2 linked regions of the Schizosaccharomyces pombe genome follow. The protein of the gene in region 2 interacts with the protein of the main gene of each other region in a biochemical or structural test. Each region holds a gene or a part of one and is shown on either strand. Other genes may lie near its edges.

The links.
Region 1: the proteins of yip11 (region 2) and gem6 form a complex in vitro, tested with the Schizosaccharomyces pombe proteins (one study listed by BioGRID).

The regions. Positions count from the first base shown.
Region 1 is NC_003424.3:5,350,682-5,357,276, forward strand, and holds gem6 (SMN complex subunit Gem6), read right to left. Parts: upstream 3,633-6,595; 5' UTR 3,539-3,632; coding exon 3,257-3,538; downstream 1-3,256. Other genes in the region: Sec7 domain-containing protein sec71, read right to left, coding at 1-99, 149-1,127; pgc1 (glycerophosphoryl diester phosphodiesterase), read right to left, coding at 1,925-2,744, 2,876-2,991; F-box/WD repeat protein Pop2, read left to right, coding at 4,450-6,561.
Region 2 is NC_003424.3:4,903,612-4,911,923, forward strand, and holds yip11 (SMN complex subunit Yip11/Gem2), read right to left. Parts: upstream 2,784-8,312; coding exon 2,617-2,783; exon of another isoform or gene 2,512-2,616; coding exon 2,163-2,511; exon of another isoform or gene 2,089-2,162; coding exon 1,897-2,088; 3' UTR 610-1,896; downstream 1-609. Other genes in the region: bud20 (zinc finger ribosome biogenesis protein), read right to left, coding at 132-429, 489-565; rsm22-cox11 tandem protein cox1102, read left to right, coding at 3,367-5,628; 19S proteasome regulatory subunit Rpn502, read right to left, coding at 5,886-7,133, 7,181-7,264. UniProt on the Schizosaccharomyces pombe protein: The SMN complex catalyzes the assembly of small nuclear ribonucleoproteins (snRNPs), the building blocks of the spliceosome, and thereby plays an important role in the splicing of cellular pre-mRNAs.

The sequences.
Region 1 (6,595 bases), 450 kb from region 2:
CTTCACGAACCTGGTCAAAGCTTTTTCTGTGCTCGAAAGATTCAAGTGTGAGTTTGTTTTCTGATAATTGAGAAGGTATAGGAGAGTTAGCACGATCAGCTAAAACAATAAGTTAGTATAAAGAACTAAAAACATGATGATTGCTTACGAGTTCCATTACTGGATGATTTATTCATGTTAATAGTAGAAAATTCTCTTTCATGATTAAGAACGGTAGAAAGGCGCTGGAATACTGAATCAACCATTTGTAAAAGAGCTACCTGAGCAATGGCTTGGGTAGTTGAGTCTTTACATAAGAGGAAAATATTGTAAGTTTGCCTCACTGCTGTAAGTAAAAACGAATGTCTAATGATTGTCCTTTCAGAAGTAATAGCTGCCAATAAAGCCTTTACAATTTGTAGCTGCACTCTTTCTGGAGTAGACTCACCGCAAAAACAGGATGCAATAGTGTTAACCACACGTTCCATTAAGGTAATATCCGATGGATTTAATGTTGGGGAATCAAAATAATTGTAATCAATCAGCTTGGCAAAGCAATCCAAAGTAATAGTCAGCAACGTTGTACTATTTGTTTGACAAGCCATTACCAAAGGTTCCAAAATGACTTCGGGAAGAAGAAATGGCTGCTTTTGTAATTCTATTTGGACATTATTGATAGCCTCCCTAAGCTTCTTATGCCGTTTTGTAGCCTTTGCTTTTGACATATGCTTAAAAGCCTCAATTACGAAGAGTTGAGGATTGAGTTTGCCAGAGTTTTGGTTAGAGGCGTTTGAAATATTCTTCCAAATCTTTAGATCTTGTGGAGCTTCAGAAGTAGATGTAGTCTGTTTGCTCAGAGTACCTGTTTGTTCACTTTCAATCGAACGTGAATCTAAGTCATCTTCTGGAGGTCTTAGAGATAGATTGCTTTCAATATCTTTTTCCGCTTCTAAGTTTTTATCGTTAATTTCTATACTTTTTTCAGTATTAGACTGTTCAGGTATGGAATCATGTTCATCTATTTCATCAGAAACTCGACTTTTGATTGTTGATTCACTATCCGGTTCTTCTTCGACAACAGACGATCCTTTTACTTCATCAGGATTACTAGAAACCCTACTAACGGTTTCTATCTCCAAATCTGTCATTTTGACATGTATGATATTTGATGTTGTAGCTATGCAGCTATGAAAGTATTATAGTATGAATGGATGGGTACGTATACTACCACTCTGCACACCACGAACCAGATCATAATTTTTTCTTTGAAAATTAACCATTGATTATATCCCTAAAAAAATAAAATTCATTTCTTTGTAATTTGTTTGATAATTTAAGCTAGAAGCATGCTTCGAATTAAGTACGTTTTTTTTTTTTTAATTAGAAAATCTCATTGAACTTCTTATAGACGAATTTATATTAATAGTTAACTGGTAGCATCTATTGTTGATGAATCAAGGCTCTTTTGTTAATATACTGACTCAAACTATTAAAAGTGTTAACTAGTTCTTAAATATTAGTTTTCATAAGATAATAAGAGTATCAATGATTAAACTACTACTGCAGAATACGCTTGTTCCGTACTAAATGCAAATTATTTAGGACGGCATAATGCCTTGCCAAGTTATGTTATTTATTGTAAATAAGTATATTTTTGAAACGAAAAAAACGATAGAAAAAAACTTTTTTATCAATTGAAATGCCACGTATGTTTGCGAATTTCTCTTTTTTCTGCTTCAACGTGGCTGTCCTAATGACAAAAATCTTTAGTGAGCGATTGCAATAATACAAAAAGATAGAGCGTAAACTCTCAAGCAAATAAGAAAAAATTGGGAGATGGGATTTAAACAAATGGAAGAGCAACAAAAATGCTCAATCACTAAAACCGGAATTCTAGTATTCATCAATCATAATATATGTATTTTCCATATTTAGAATAACATACTTACAACACAAAGGTTCTCAATAAAAAGAAGACAAATTGTGCTCGTAAGAAACCATAAATCATATGAAGCCACTCGGAATAATGGAAATAATGCCAAGATTTGGTAACAATTGGGCCTTGGGAAAGAGCTCTAGCCATCACCGGATCATCAGATAAAAGTCCGTCACAGCCTCTAATTAAAGCAAGATAGATAGAAGAAGGTGTGTTTAAAGTCCATGCAAAGACTTGTTTACCTTGGGCATGAACGAGATCAACAAAATCCTGAGAATGAGGAAGTAAAAACAGAGCAACAGCCATACTGACACCCTTTACTCTGGGATGCATAACAAAATGTCTTTCAGCATAAGCGAAGTTGAATCCAATATGATATAACGGAATTGATGGGGCATATCGATCACAAGCAGGGATGAACCTATGTGACCATAAACAAAACGATACTTTGTCTTTCCAAAAGTCTAAATCAGAATTAACCCGAAGCATTGCATCAACCATTCTGGGAATAATTAACAAATCGTTTACTGGCTTAATGTCAACAAGTAGATTGACGCCAGGATGCTTGGTTAATTCATGCAAAAATTGTTCATAGGTAGGTAACGGCTCGTGAGGCTCTTGAATGGTACGAAAATGACCATTATCCAATTCATAATCAAGATCTCGAACATCAACATCAACACCGAATACTCTGTTAAGATTTCTATCATGCAAAATGCAAACCACTTCATCTTTAGTTAGTCGAACATCTGTTTCAACGCAGTCAGCACCAGCCTTTACGGCTTGTTGAAATGCTAGTATAGTATTTTCAGGATACTTAGCTTTGTATCTGTAAACATAAGTTAAACATTTGCTAAATTGGAGAAGGATTTTGACAATTAAGGGTACAAAGTTGCAGATATGAAACTAAGTCTACTAATAATAAAAGCAGTATGCAACTAATACATTCATAAAACATACCCTCTATGAGCAATGACCAAAGGCGGTTTTGAAAACGTGGCTAAAGAACTCGTATTTTCAGCAATGCTTTGAGCAGCATCATCAACGGTATTGGCAATTGAGTAGTTAAAAGCCATTTTGAAGAGAACGATGTTGGTATTGGGAGAAGTAAAGAATGTAGCAACTATATACCAGTTACTGTAGTCCGATGATATCACTCCGCTCCGCTCAGGTTGCAAAAAAGGCGTTGAAGTGATTCGTCGAAGTCAATTCAGTATAACAATATTTTATATAGTTAATTTACGATAAAGGAAGGAAAACATTTCCCTCGCAAAAGAAGCGAATTATCCATCAGAATTGTAGATTCAAATCATATATTTCAAACGCTGAATGCAATTCGCATCATGAAGTTAATAGAGAATCATATTCTGCTAGCGATTGTTGATTAAGAGGAGACATACTTTCGTCGGGTTCAATGGTCTGAATAGCATCCGACATTATACCATAAAAACGATAATGAGTATCTTCAACCTCGTCTGTATTGGGAGTAAGAGGTTGAATCAAAATTAATGTTCCAGTCAAGGGATCACAGTTCCAAAGAAATCCTTCTACTGGTAAACGTCCATTCTTAAACAGGACGCGCAGGTAAGAACCTCTACGCTTTTCTGTTGTGTGAGAATCCATTTCATTAATTATTCAAATAATGTGAGAAAACAAAAAAGATAAAAAAAACATTAATAAAAACCAAACTTTTTAAAACACGGTTTATGTTCAGGTCAAAAAGTAGTAGCAATTTTCGGTAGCTGTATGAGAGGCGTGGAATTACAAGATGAGTATAGCTTCCGTAGCAGACGTAAATCAAGTATGTTTTTCATTCGAACCCAAATTTTTAGTTGTTTTTGAATTTATGAAACTGATACTTAGGCCATTATGGTTTTTTTTGCTAACAATATACCAGCAATGGGATTTACAATCAGTTTTCGTATTAACTTCCATAAAACTTATTTTATTTATCAACGAACATCAAATTCTAGCTCAGAAAAATAAAAAATGCATATATTTTGTTTGAAAACGCTGCTTACGCTAATCTGTATCATATAACTTCTACTCAATTTTCTTAATCCATGTTTCCTGTTTTAGGTACCGCTTTATATTTATTTACTTAAAAAGTATCAATTCATGTATCTTTTTATTACAAGTTTTGCATTCGCATTGTACGAACTTTTGTTTACAAATTCTCCGCCAGAACTTGCCTCCTACCACACACAAAGATTCTGTATGGTATGAACAACGCATATTGAGCTTCTGTTATTTTTTCAATTAAAAGATTACTTATAAAAAAACCTTTCCATTATTCATTTTCTCTTTATGCCCGCACTTTTTAATCTGTATCTAATTTCGGCATATGCCAGTTTTTGATTAATCTGTAGAAACAAACCATAACGGTGTTGTTTCTTCTTTCCAATCTGTCAGTAACTTTTTCATTGGTCTCTTTTCCAATTTATTTTCAGATTGTTTTATCGACTGTTTTCCTTAAAGCTCATTTTTGACTTCTTATTTATTTCAACGAAAAATCACAATCATTGCATCTACGCATGTCACTCTCTAGGTGTCCAACTGACAATTCGTCCTCCCGTATAAATTCCTCTGTTCCTTTAATAAATAGCAGCAGCCCTGCTACACCTCCAGAATCATTTGATCCTCAAGTATTTCCTTCTTCACTTATTCATGGGGATAACCTGCTTCCTCAAGATGATCAAATTGCATCGGATCCTCGCTCAGAATCAAATAGTTGTAATGGCAATACGAGTTCTTCCCTGCCGTGCACTGATTCGTATCAGTACCCATTAAAGCATTCTTGTACGCCTTCTTTTCTTCGAAAGTTTAATGAAAGTATAGAGAATGTCTCTTATAAATGCTTAGACCACTCACCGCCAGATAGTGTTCCTGGCGATTTTTCCATTTCCCTTGTTCCTCAAAGGAATTTTCTATATTCTCATTCTTCTCTTCCACCTAAAATTATATCAATTGATAGAAACAATCGAATTAAGTTAGATAATAGCATTTCATCTAACTCCGACAATTTCCCTCCTTCTCCGAAAGTCGACACATCAAACACTGTTTCACCTGGTAGTAAACCTATCTCTGAGGATCTTGAAGATTTAAACTTACAGTCAATTGTTCAAACTTTTGAGGATCTTCCAGAAGGAATTCAATCTTATGCGTTTTTTCAACTACTCCGTTCGTGCAATCGGCAATCGATGCGTTTATTATTGAATGAATGCGAGCCGCTTCTAAAAAAAGATATACTTTCAAATCTTCCTTTTTCCATTGTTCAGTCTATATTATTAAATCTGGATATACATTCTTTTCTTTCTTGCCGTCTTGTTTCGCCTACTTGGAATAGAATACTTGATGTGCATACTTCATACTGGAAACACATGTTTAGTTTATTTGGCTTTCAAATCAATGAAAATGACTGGAAATATGCTAATCCAAACTTAAATCGTCCACCTTTTTTGCACAACGACCAAATCTCAGATGACTATTTTCCGGAAATTTTCAAAAGACATTTTCTCAATAGAAAACGATGGTTATTTCCTTCGATACCTCCAAGTCATCTATCTTTTCCCATTCATGTTCCAAACTTTATGATAACTTCTTTACTACTTCATAAAGACAGAATAATCACCACTTCGGGATCTGGAACAATTCAAATTCATAATGCTATTACCGGTGTTTTAGAAGCTCGATTAGAGGGTCATAAAGAAGGTGTTTGGGCTGTCAAAATACATGAGAATACACTTGTATCTGGTTCGATCGATAAAACTGTTCGCGTTTGGAACATAGAGAAAGCTAAATGTACGCACATATTTAGGGGACATATTTCCATCATCAGATGCTTAGAGATCTTAGTTCCGAGTCGTCTTATTCGCCATGGAGTTGAAATTGTTGAACCAGATCAACCGTACATTGTCAGCGGCTCTCGGGATCATACACTTCGGGTTTGGAAGCTTCCAAAAAACACGGATCCTCCTTATCTTCCAGATAATACAAACTCTATTGACCGTTGGGAGAAGAACCCGTATTTTGTACATACTTTGATAGGACATACAGACTCTGTACGAACTATATCCGGCTATGGTGATATACTTGTGAGTGGGAGTTATGATTCTTCAATTCGCATTTGGAGAGTTTCAACAGGGGAATGTCTTTACCATCTGCGGGGTCATAGTCTTCGTATATATAGTGTTTTATATGAACCAGAAAGGAATATTTGCATAAGCGGTAGCATGGATAAGTCCATTAGGGTTTGGGATTTATCGACAGGGACTTGTAAATATGTGCTTGAAGGCCATGATGCCTTTGTTACGCTTCTTAATGTATTCCAGAATAGGTTGATATCAGGTTCTGCTGACTCCACAATTAGAATATGGGATTTGAATACTGGGAAACCATTAATGGTTTTGCCGTCTAATTCAGGCTACATTAGTAGCTTTGTGTCAGATGAACACAAAATTATTAGTGGTAATGATGGTTCTGTAAAGTTATGGGATGTTAGGACTGGAAAGCTGTTACGTTTTCTATTAACAGACCTCACAAAAATATGGCATGTCGATTTTGATGCTATGCGTTGTGTGGCTGCAGTGCAGCGTGATGATCAAGCATATTTGGAAGTTATTAATTTTTCCGGATCAAGACCGTAGAAAGTTTCATTTTAACAATATTTAAGAAGACATA
Region 2 (8,312 bases):
CTAATGATAATATAGCAGAATAAATGAGAATGAGACATATAAAAATCTGTTTAAATAAAGAGCATGCGCTACGAATATGGAACAAAAGCAAAAGTGCTGACTAACTTAGCATTCGTAAATGTGTCTCTAGTTTAGTCCGCCATGACAACGTTACTATTGTCAGCAAGCTTGGAAGCTACACTCTGTTTTGGCTGTCCAATATTCACCGCAGCTTCTGCTTCTTCTTGTGTATACGGCTCTTCACGCAAATTTTTTAACCTTCGTTTGTGAACCTTTCCCTTCTTATGCACCAGCAATGCTTGAGACGAGTCAAAGTACCGTGCACATTCAATGCAATAATGTTGACCTAAACCTGGCAAATCCGGATCTATAGGTAATTTATCAAATTTCTCAGACTCTGTTAAGTCATTGTGAATCTGATCTAAGTCTCTATTTGTCCAATTGTTAATTTACCAAACGATGATTGAATGACCATGAAATTTGCATACCTCCCATAAACACGAGTTCTAAACAAAGCATGATTTCCATTGCTATGATGCTTTCTTTTTCTGGCAACTCTTCCCATTGTCCGTCACTTCAAACAAACCCGTTTACCACAATTACAATGTTAGTTGCAAAGGATAAACTTTTTTAAGCGTAAACACATTCAATATCCAAACGGCGTAATGTGTGCTATATCGTATAGTGAAAAATAATTCTCAAATAATCTTATTTTCCTATCGTAGTTTGCGATAAGTTTAATAACGAGAAGGAAAGCCTCGTTATATAGTTGAAAAGCAAGAGAAATGTATTAGATATGTATTATTGATTGTTCTGAATAGCTCAAGTAGCGTAAATTTTTTAATAAATAAATATTCGTTCAAAATTTGGGAGAGCATGGTCAAAGCAAGTTGAAATGCATGCCTTTGAAATTGCGCTTTTTAAGCGACGATTGCTCCATCGTTTGACAAAACTTTGTAATTTAAGGGATGTTTAGCATCGGAATTTATTAGGGAAAATTGCTTTAGGCGTGATTCTTAGTACATGGCAACTATAGAAGAAATGAATTAACATTCAGTAGCTTTCTGGCTTTAACTGCCACTATTTCATCAAAGTCTCGACAAGTTGACGTTTAGTCGAAGGAAAGAAAGTATTCACGTAGCGAGATCAGAGTCCGCTTATCAGCAAGGAAAAAATTGAGCTCTCCATTTAGACTGCTATACTGAAGTGTGAGCAATTTTAGTGACATTTAGTTTTACAAAAGGAGCTTGATTGCTCGAACTCAAAAGATTCAATTAACCACGAAGGGGTTCTTGGCAGTGAGGTTGTAATTATTTCTTTTTTATTTTATCTTTATTTGACTTTTGTTTTTTCCCAAAGAATAATTGCAATGTTCAATTAGTTTTGAATTTGAAAAACCTCATATGGGTAAAAAATCACTCGGTCGAAAAAGACAGTAAAAATTTATTAGTTAATTTCGTAAGATGGGGCGCGAATTAAAGAAAGTTGCTAGTTATCATGTAATAACATAATTGAAACCCTCGATTCGACAAGTATGCAGACAGCAAAACGAATGCACGTACTAAACAAATAGTAAGCCATTTTTTGTAAAATGAAAATGTGAATCAATAAACAAATAACTTTGCCTATCTCAATTCAAACGTGTTTTTTTAAAATATATCTATCGATTTGTAATAGGCAAATTGTTTATTGCAGCTATCTCCAAGCTTGCTTAATCACATGTTCAAAGATGCAAAGCCCAGCATATCCGTGTAGCATATGTTTTCATTCAAAAAAGTAATAATATCCTAAAAACATATTTAAAACAAGCTATCAATTTTAATTTTTTCCCTATAAACAAACGTATGCTATATGAACATGTGTACCTAAATTTTTTTCGACCAAGATTTATAGACTCTATGTTTGAAAGAGATCTTTTTGTCCATATCGATAAACTAAGACTGCTTGAAGGGCAGATGCTGACATCTGCAGAGCAGGAAAAGAAGTATGCGTACTTCGTAAAGACTTGAGTACTGAACGTAGGGTCGATATATCTTCTCCATTCAAAAGCTCAGGAAGTTTATAACAAAAGCAAAAAATCCATTGACTCTAGAAAAATGTTAGCAAATTTTAGAATGAACAAAAATACACCAGCAAAGTAGCATGAGATCCTTGTTACCAACCTGTAAATCAATTGCGTCCTTTTCAAGCCAGCTGGACAAGCTTTCTAGGATCTCCAAAACAGTTGCCAAATCAACCACTGCTAATATGGCCCAACAAGGAGCTTTATGCTCAATATATACACGCCATTGTTGTAAATTTTTAGGTAAAATAGATGCGTCCAATGAAGAAGATTCCATATATTGCTCAAGCCTTTCCCCTTCTTTATCAATTATGTTTAGTAAGTATCGTAAAAACGGGTCAAAGCTTTTTTTGCCGGCCTCGATTTCCAATTTGCGAAGAGGAATGGTTTCTCTTGTTTCAGGCTCACGACGCGCCGCTACAAATGGAACTAGCTTGCGAGCTTCTTCTCTGAACTTGTCAGTAAAAAGCCCAATTATTGTTACAATGATTAGATTAAAGCATTCATGTTGCAAATTTCGATTTTCACAAAAATTCATATATAAATGTTCGTACCTCACAGTTGCTAAATAATCTAAACCATCAAGTGGTATATCATATTCCAAAGATTCTGAAGCACTATTGTTGTCGATTTGTGGAAAAGCGCTGCGTTGATTTGTTTCCTCATCTAATGATCCTGAAGTCTGATATTGTAAAGGATTTCTTTTTCTTTTCGAGGGCATTTTGAATTATTATTGTACAATTGCAAACTTCTCATATAAACCAAATGGAAAAGAATTACCGAATTTTCATGAAAATACTCAAGGAATGTAGGCTGTTTTTTTCCGGCAACTTTTCGTTTGTAGTTAGTTAACAAGGAATGTTTCGTAAATCGAAGATTACCCTAGTATAATAGAATGGTAAGGTTAAAGAGGTATCTGTAGAACTATCAATGTGAAGAGTCTATCTTGATCAAGTGTAATGCTAAAACTAATTTTAGCTATTTCTTGATAATTCCTTTACTATCATAAAATTTATTACTTGTTCTTATTTTCAAAGAAGTTCAAAGTTTTGCATTTTTTTGAAGTGTATAAGAAGCTAAAACTGGGAGAATATTCACTCAGACAGAATTGCCTATCCTTGAACTAATTTAATAAACATAAAACATATAGATATGTAGGAAATTGTACTATTCATTCTTCTGTCAACGCAAGTAACACCATCTGCGGCCACTTAATCAGGCACTTACTCTACACAATATACAGATCAGTGCTTTATCCCCAAATCCCATTGTTCATTGGTGAATTGGTGTTTTGAGCAGCACATATGCCCATTCTAACATGCAGATATAAAATTCTGTTTCTTTATAATTTACGGAATTGCTTTACTTTTCAAAATCAGCGATGTCTCATACCATATGGAACAACCACTACCATTAGGTGGTATAATGCAAATTTTCAAGCTGTTCAAAACAACTTTTCTGATTATAAAAACGAATTGATCTCTTCACATCGTCCAGAAGCTTCCAGTTTACTCGACTTTTTGGTAAAGGATCAAAAGAAAAGTGGTGATATTAGTTTGCATACAAAATTTAATCTATATGTGGACGATTTATTGAAAAAGAGCGAAAAAGGACAAATTAAAAAATTTATTAATGATATTAAAAAAGATTTGGCTACGGAATCTCAGCTTCCATTGTCTGCGCCATTCAAAGATGAATCTACTCGGACTATGACAGATCCCCAAGTTTTAGCTTATATTCATCAGTCTATGCCGTATCAATATGCTTCTCTATACAGCGTATTGACTGACTTGAAAATTGTAAACAGTGATGTGTCTTGCAAGTCTCAACATATACTGGATTGCGGTAAAGGTCCAGGTATTGGTGCTCTAGCTAGTTATTCAGTCTTTCCCACACCTAATTCAGTTTCAATTGTTGAGGAGAACCCATTTTTGAAAAAAATCATATATGATATTCACCATAACATTTACCCGTCAACTTCGCCGAATCCAACTAGCCCTGTTACGCTTAACCGTCTACCATTGGGTAAAAAGGATTCATACACTCTAGTTATTGCATCTAACAAGCTTCTTGAAATGAAATCGGAGAAAGAACTCTTTGATTATCTTCGTTCGCTTTGGAGTCTCGTGTCAAATGATGGTGGTCTTTTGGTGCTCTGCGAGCGAGGCACAAAGCGTGGCTTTAGTTTGATTCAAAGAGCTAGAACATTTCTATTGCAAAAAAGTAAAAATACTTCTGATAAACAATTCAATGCCCATATTGTAGCACCCTGTCCCCACGATGGTCGCTGCCCCATTGATATAGAAAATGGGGTAAGAGCAAATATTTGTTCTTTCAAACAACATTTTTTCCTATCCCCATTTTCCCGTCTATATGTCCCTCGTTCTCATCGTCGATCCTCGGATCGCTCTCATTACAGTTATGTTGTTATTCAAAAGGGTATAACTAGACCGCTTAATAATACCACACAAAGGTTCAAGAATGATGAGGATTTACTAGAAAATGTGAATGTTACATCTCCAACTCTTAAAAACTGGCCACGTATAATTCGACCTCCACTGAAGCGAGATGGACATGTCATAATTGATGTCTGTGATAGCGATGCTCGGCTTAGAAGGAATATTGTTCCTAAATCACAAGGTAAACTAGCTTATCGATTAGCTAGGAAAAGTGCTTGGGGCGACTTGTTTCCGTTAGAGGGCAAAGTTCAAAGTACTTCTCCAAGTAGTAAAATTACTAAACATTTAAAAGATGCTTCTTCTACCTATTCAATCAATCCCCCCTCATATAATAAACCCAAAGTTGAAAGAAATACAACTGCAGATCCTATTTTTGTCGGAAAACGATTCTATTCGACTAATCGTCATAAAGCTTTTTCTCGATTTGCAGACTTTAATTCACATCGTTTCCCTTGTATTTTTACTTCATTTAGCTGTTACAATTGCATCTCTGGTACCAGGAATATTTCACGACAATATTCGAGAGATAAATTCCACTATAATCAAAGGACCACTATCTATTATCTGGTTGCAATTTCCATTTTTGCGTTGGGCTTGACATATGCGGCTGTACCTTTATATCGTCTTTTCTGTTCGAAAACAGGTTATGGTGGCACTCTTAATACCGACCAAAGTCGTATGAATGCAGAAAGAATGGTTCCTCGTAAAGACAATAAAAGAATCAGAGTTACTTTCAATGGCGACGTTGCAGGAAACCTTAGCTGGAAGCTTTGGCCCCAGCAGCGTGAAATATATGTTCTTCCAGGCGAGACTGCTCTAGGGTTTTATACTGCTGAAAATACGTCCGACCATGACATAGTAGGAGTTGCAACTTATAATATAGTACCAGGTCAAGCCGCTGTTTACTTCTCAAAGGTTGCATGCTTTTGCTTTGAAGAGCAAAAGCTAGATGCTCATGAAAAAGTAGACTTGCCTGTGTTTTTCTTTATAGATCCAGAATTTGCTGATGATCCAAATATGAAGGATATTGACGATATTCTTCTAAGCTATACTTTTTTTGAGGCCAGATATGATACCAATGGCAATCTTTTAACTAAACTCAACTGAAATAAAAATTAAGGGACTACATATTGAGTGAACTACAATAATTTATTTAAAATAATTCATCAAGTTAACCTTCTAGTTACGAGACAAATAACAACGAAAATCACTACAAACTTACTAGAATAACTTTCTCCGAGGTTGCAATTCGACATTAAAACTATTGTATTCTCGTAAAAAAAGTTGAAGGCCTTTGAACCAATAGTATATTATTTAAATGACAAAGTCATGAAAGTAACGAAATGAAATAGAGACGGAACAATTTATTTGGCTACCGCCTGTTGAATAGAATTCATCATTTCTTCTTTTATAATAAGCTGTCTTACCTTTTCCAATTTTCCAAGAAGTTCAGTAATATTGGAACCCCACTCATTCAATTGCTCTTGCACATTTTGAGATTTCTTGAATGAAATGACTTGAGCTGGGCGATCAATCTTGGCATAGAAATGATGCTTTGCAATAAGGTCGCAAAGAAATTGTTCTGTTTCGGAAGGACTCATATCCAACAACACTCCTAGACGACTGCAATGAATGCGGGAATAATAGTTTGCGACTACACGAATATTGTGTTCGATGACTCGCTTACGAAGTTCAGACCAACGTTTCTCACCTTTTTCGTCATTTTCAGCAAAAACAGGATTACTCCTTAAAGCACTTCCATAGATTTCGGCAATTTTGGGCCATCTCATTAGTTCATTGACAATAAAGCACTTAACCAATTGTTGGAGTAAAGGAAGAGAATTTAGTTTATGGTCAGCATTAATTCGGTGAAGAAGATCTGCCTGCTCGTTATCATAAGGAGTAAGCAAGGCAAAGCAAACGACATTTTCTAATATTTCTTTCCATTTCTCGGGGTCCTCTTGAACCACGGCGGTGTCATAAACTGCTCGATAATATTTACAAACATCAAGATATGCATCGTCGTGCAAACCAATTCGGATTTTTTGCTCATAATACTTAAGTTTTAAAGACTGGACGTCTTCCTTTTCAAAAAACTTAACATTTATTTTCTTCGTGTAAGTAGATGCCATGTAGTAATCAGACCTCAGTAAGAATAATCTAACTTGATCCAAAATGAATGCAACTTTTTCCTTCAAATCAAAAGATCCGTAAGTCTCTACTGGTTCATTACACAAGATCTCCTGGGCAGATTTGATGTCACCTTGCTCTTCTTTAATCTGGGAAAGCAGTTGTGTAAGACGTGCCCTTTCTACTTCCACATATATCTTTCCATCAGTAATAGTACGCAATGTTTCAATCAAATTAATTTTTGTTTTTAAATCGTCAATTCCAGGAAGATAGGTCATTACATGTTGGACTAAACTTGTCATCGATTGTTTCAGTTGGCCATGCTTTTTAAAGAGACTAACCAACTGTTCGTTTAAGCCTTGGAAATCACCAGCTCGAAAGAGCAAATCAGCAATGTATATTAATACTTTCGTATTCGTGCTGGTGTCAGAAGCCTGACGAACTTGCTTCTCAAAAATCAAAAGCTTCTCGAGGTTCGCATCCTACAATTACAAGTTAGAGATTAGTCAAAATTTTGATTTTTACGTACGATGTCTATGGTATTAAGGTTATTTAAACTTTTTTGTAACTCTGCAAACTTCTCTGAGTAATCAACTTCCGGTTTCTGTTCCATTTCGATATGTGGGTTGTTGGAGAGTGTACAATTGAGACTAATATTGCGAGTTGATTTCTTATGATTACAGAGTTGTACCGCACGCTCGCAAAATACTTTAGTTGTCAGCAATACTACTCTACGCTATGATACACTACGTTGCGTATCACTATATGTCATATGTTGGAATACTAGCTAAGATCCGTTTATTGATAATCACGGGTAACGATCCGTCTATATACATAGATACCCGTTGATAACGCGAATGAGCCGTTCGGCTTCTTAGTTCGTAGATCCGAGATTTCGAACTGCTTTTAGGCAGTAAATGATAGCTTTTCCATCTAACTGACTCTAAAATCACACTCCCTTGTTACTGGACCCACATTAGCGATAGCGGATACAAAAATGCAGGGAATTGAAAGACCGAGTTCGTGGCCTATTGAGAGAAAATGGAACTTCCCTTCCCAAAAGCACCTTTGACCTGCAGAAAAATTAGGCCAATTATTATGATGCCAAGTCTGGAAAAACACCACAGGTTCGGTATATTATTATTGTCAATATTGTTATACTGAGTTAGTTTTTTTTTTTTTTTTTTTTTTTTTTTTTTTTTTTAATACCAAAGTTTCGTATGCCTATAGCATTAATCTAGATCTAGCTTGCGTCATATAAGGACCAGATTTACTCTTGACCGACTTCATAGCAGCATAATTAGCATCTCCTCGGCATAAAAGAAAAAATTTTGCTATCTCCACTCTCACAAGGTTAGCGAAGGTTTGTGCATTTGACAGCAGGTTGGTTAAATTCGTTAAGCTTCCAAGAGATATAAATATAGTGGCTCGAATTTGACTTATCCAGTCAGTCATTCATTGCTGAAGTTGTTGGGTTGGCCAGGTCCATCGGTAAGTTTTTGTTTTGTAGGATGACTGTATAGTTTGGCTTTTTGTTGTGTAGTGCCAGTTTGTTTGCGATGAGGATCAACGTTGCAATCTGTTGGTAGAAAGTTGCCCCTCGAAAATCTTGGAAATTTGGATTTGTATGCATCTTTTCTTGTTGATTTCTAAGTTGATCA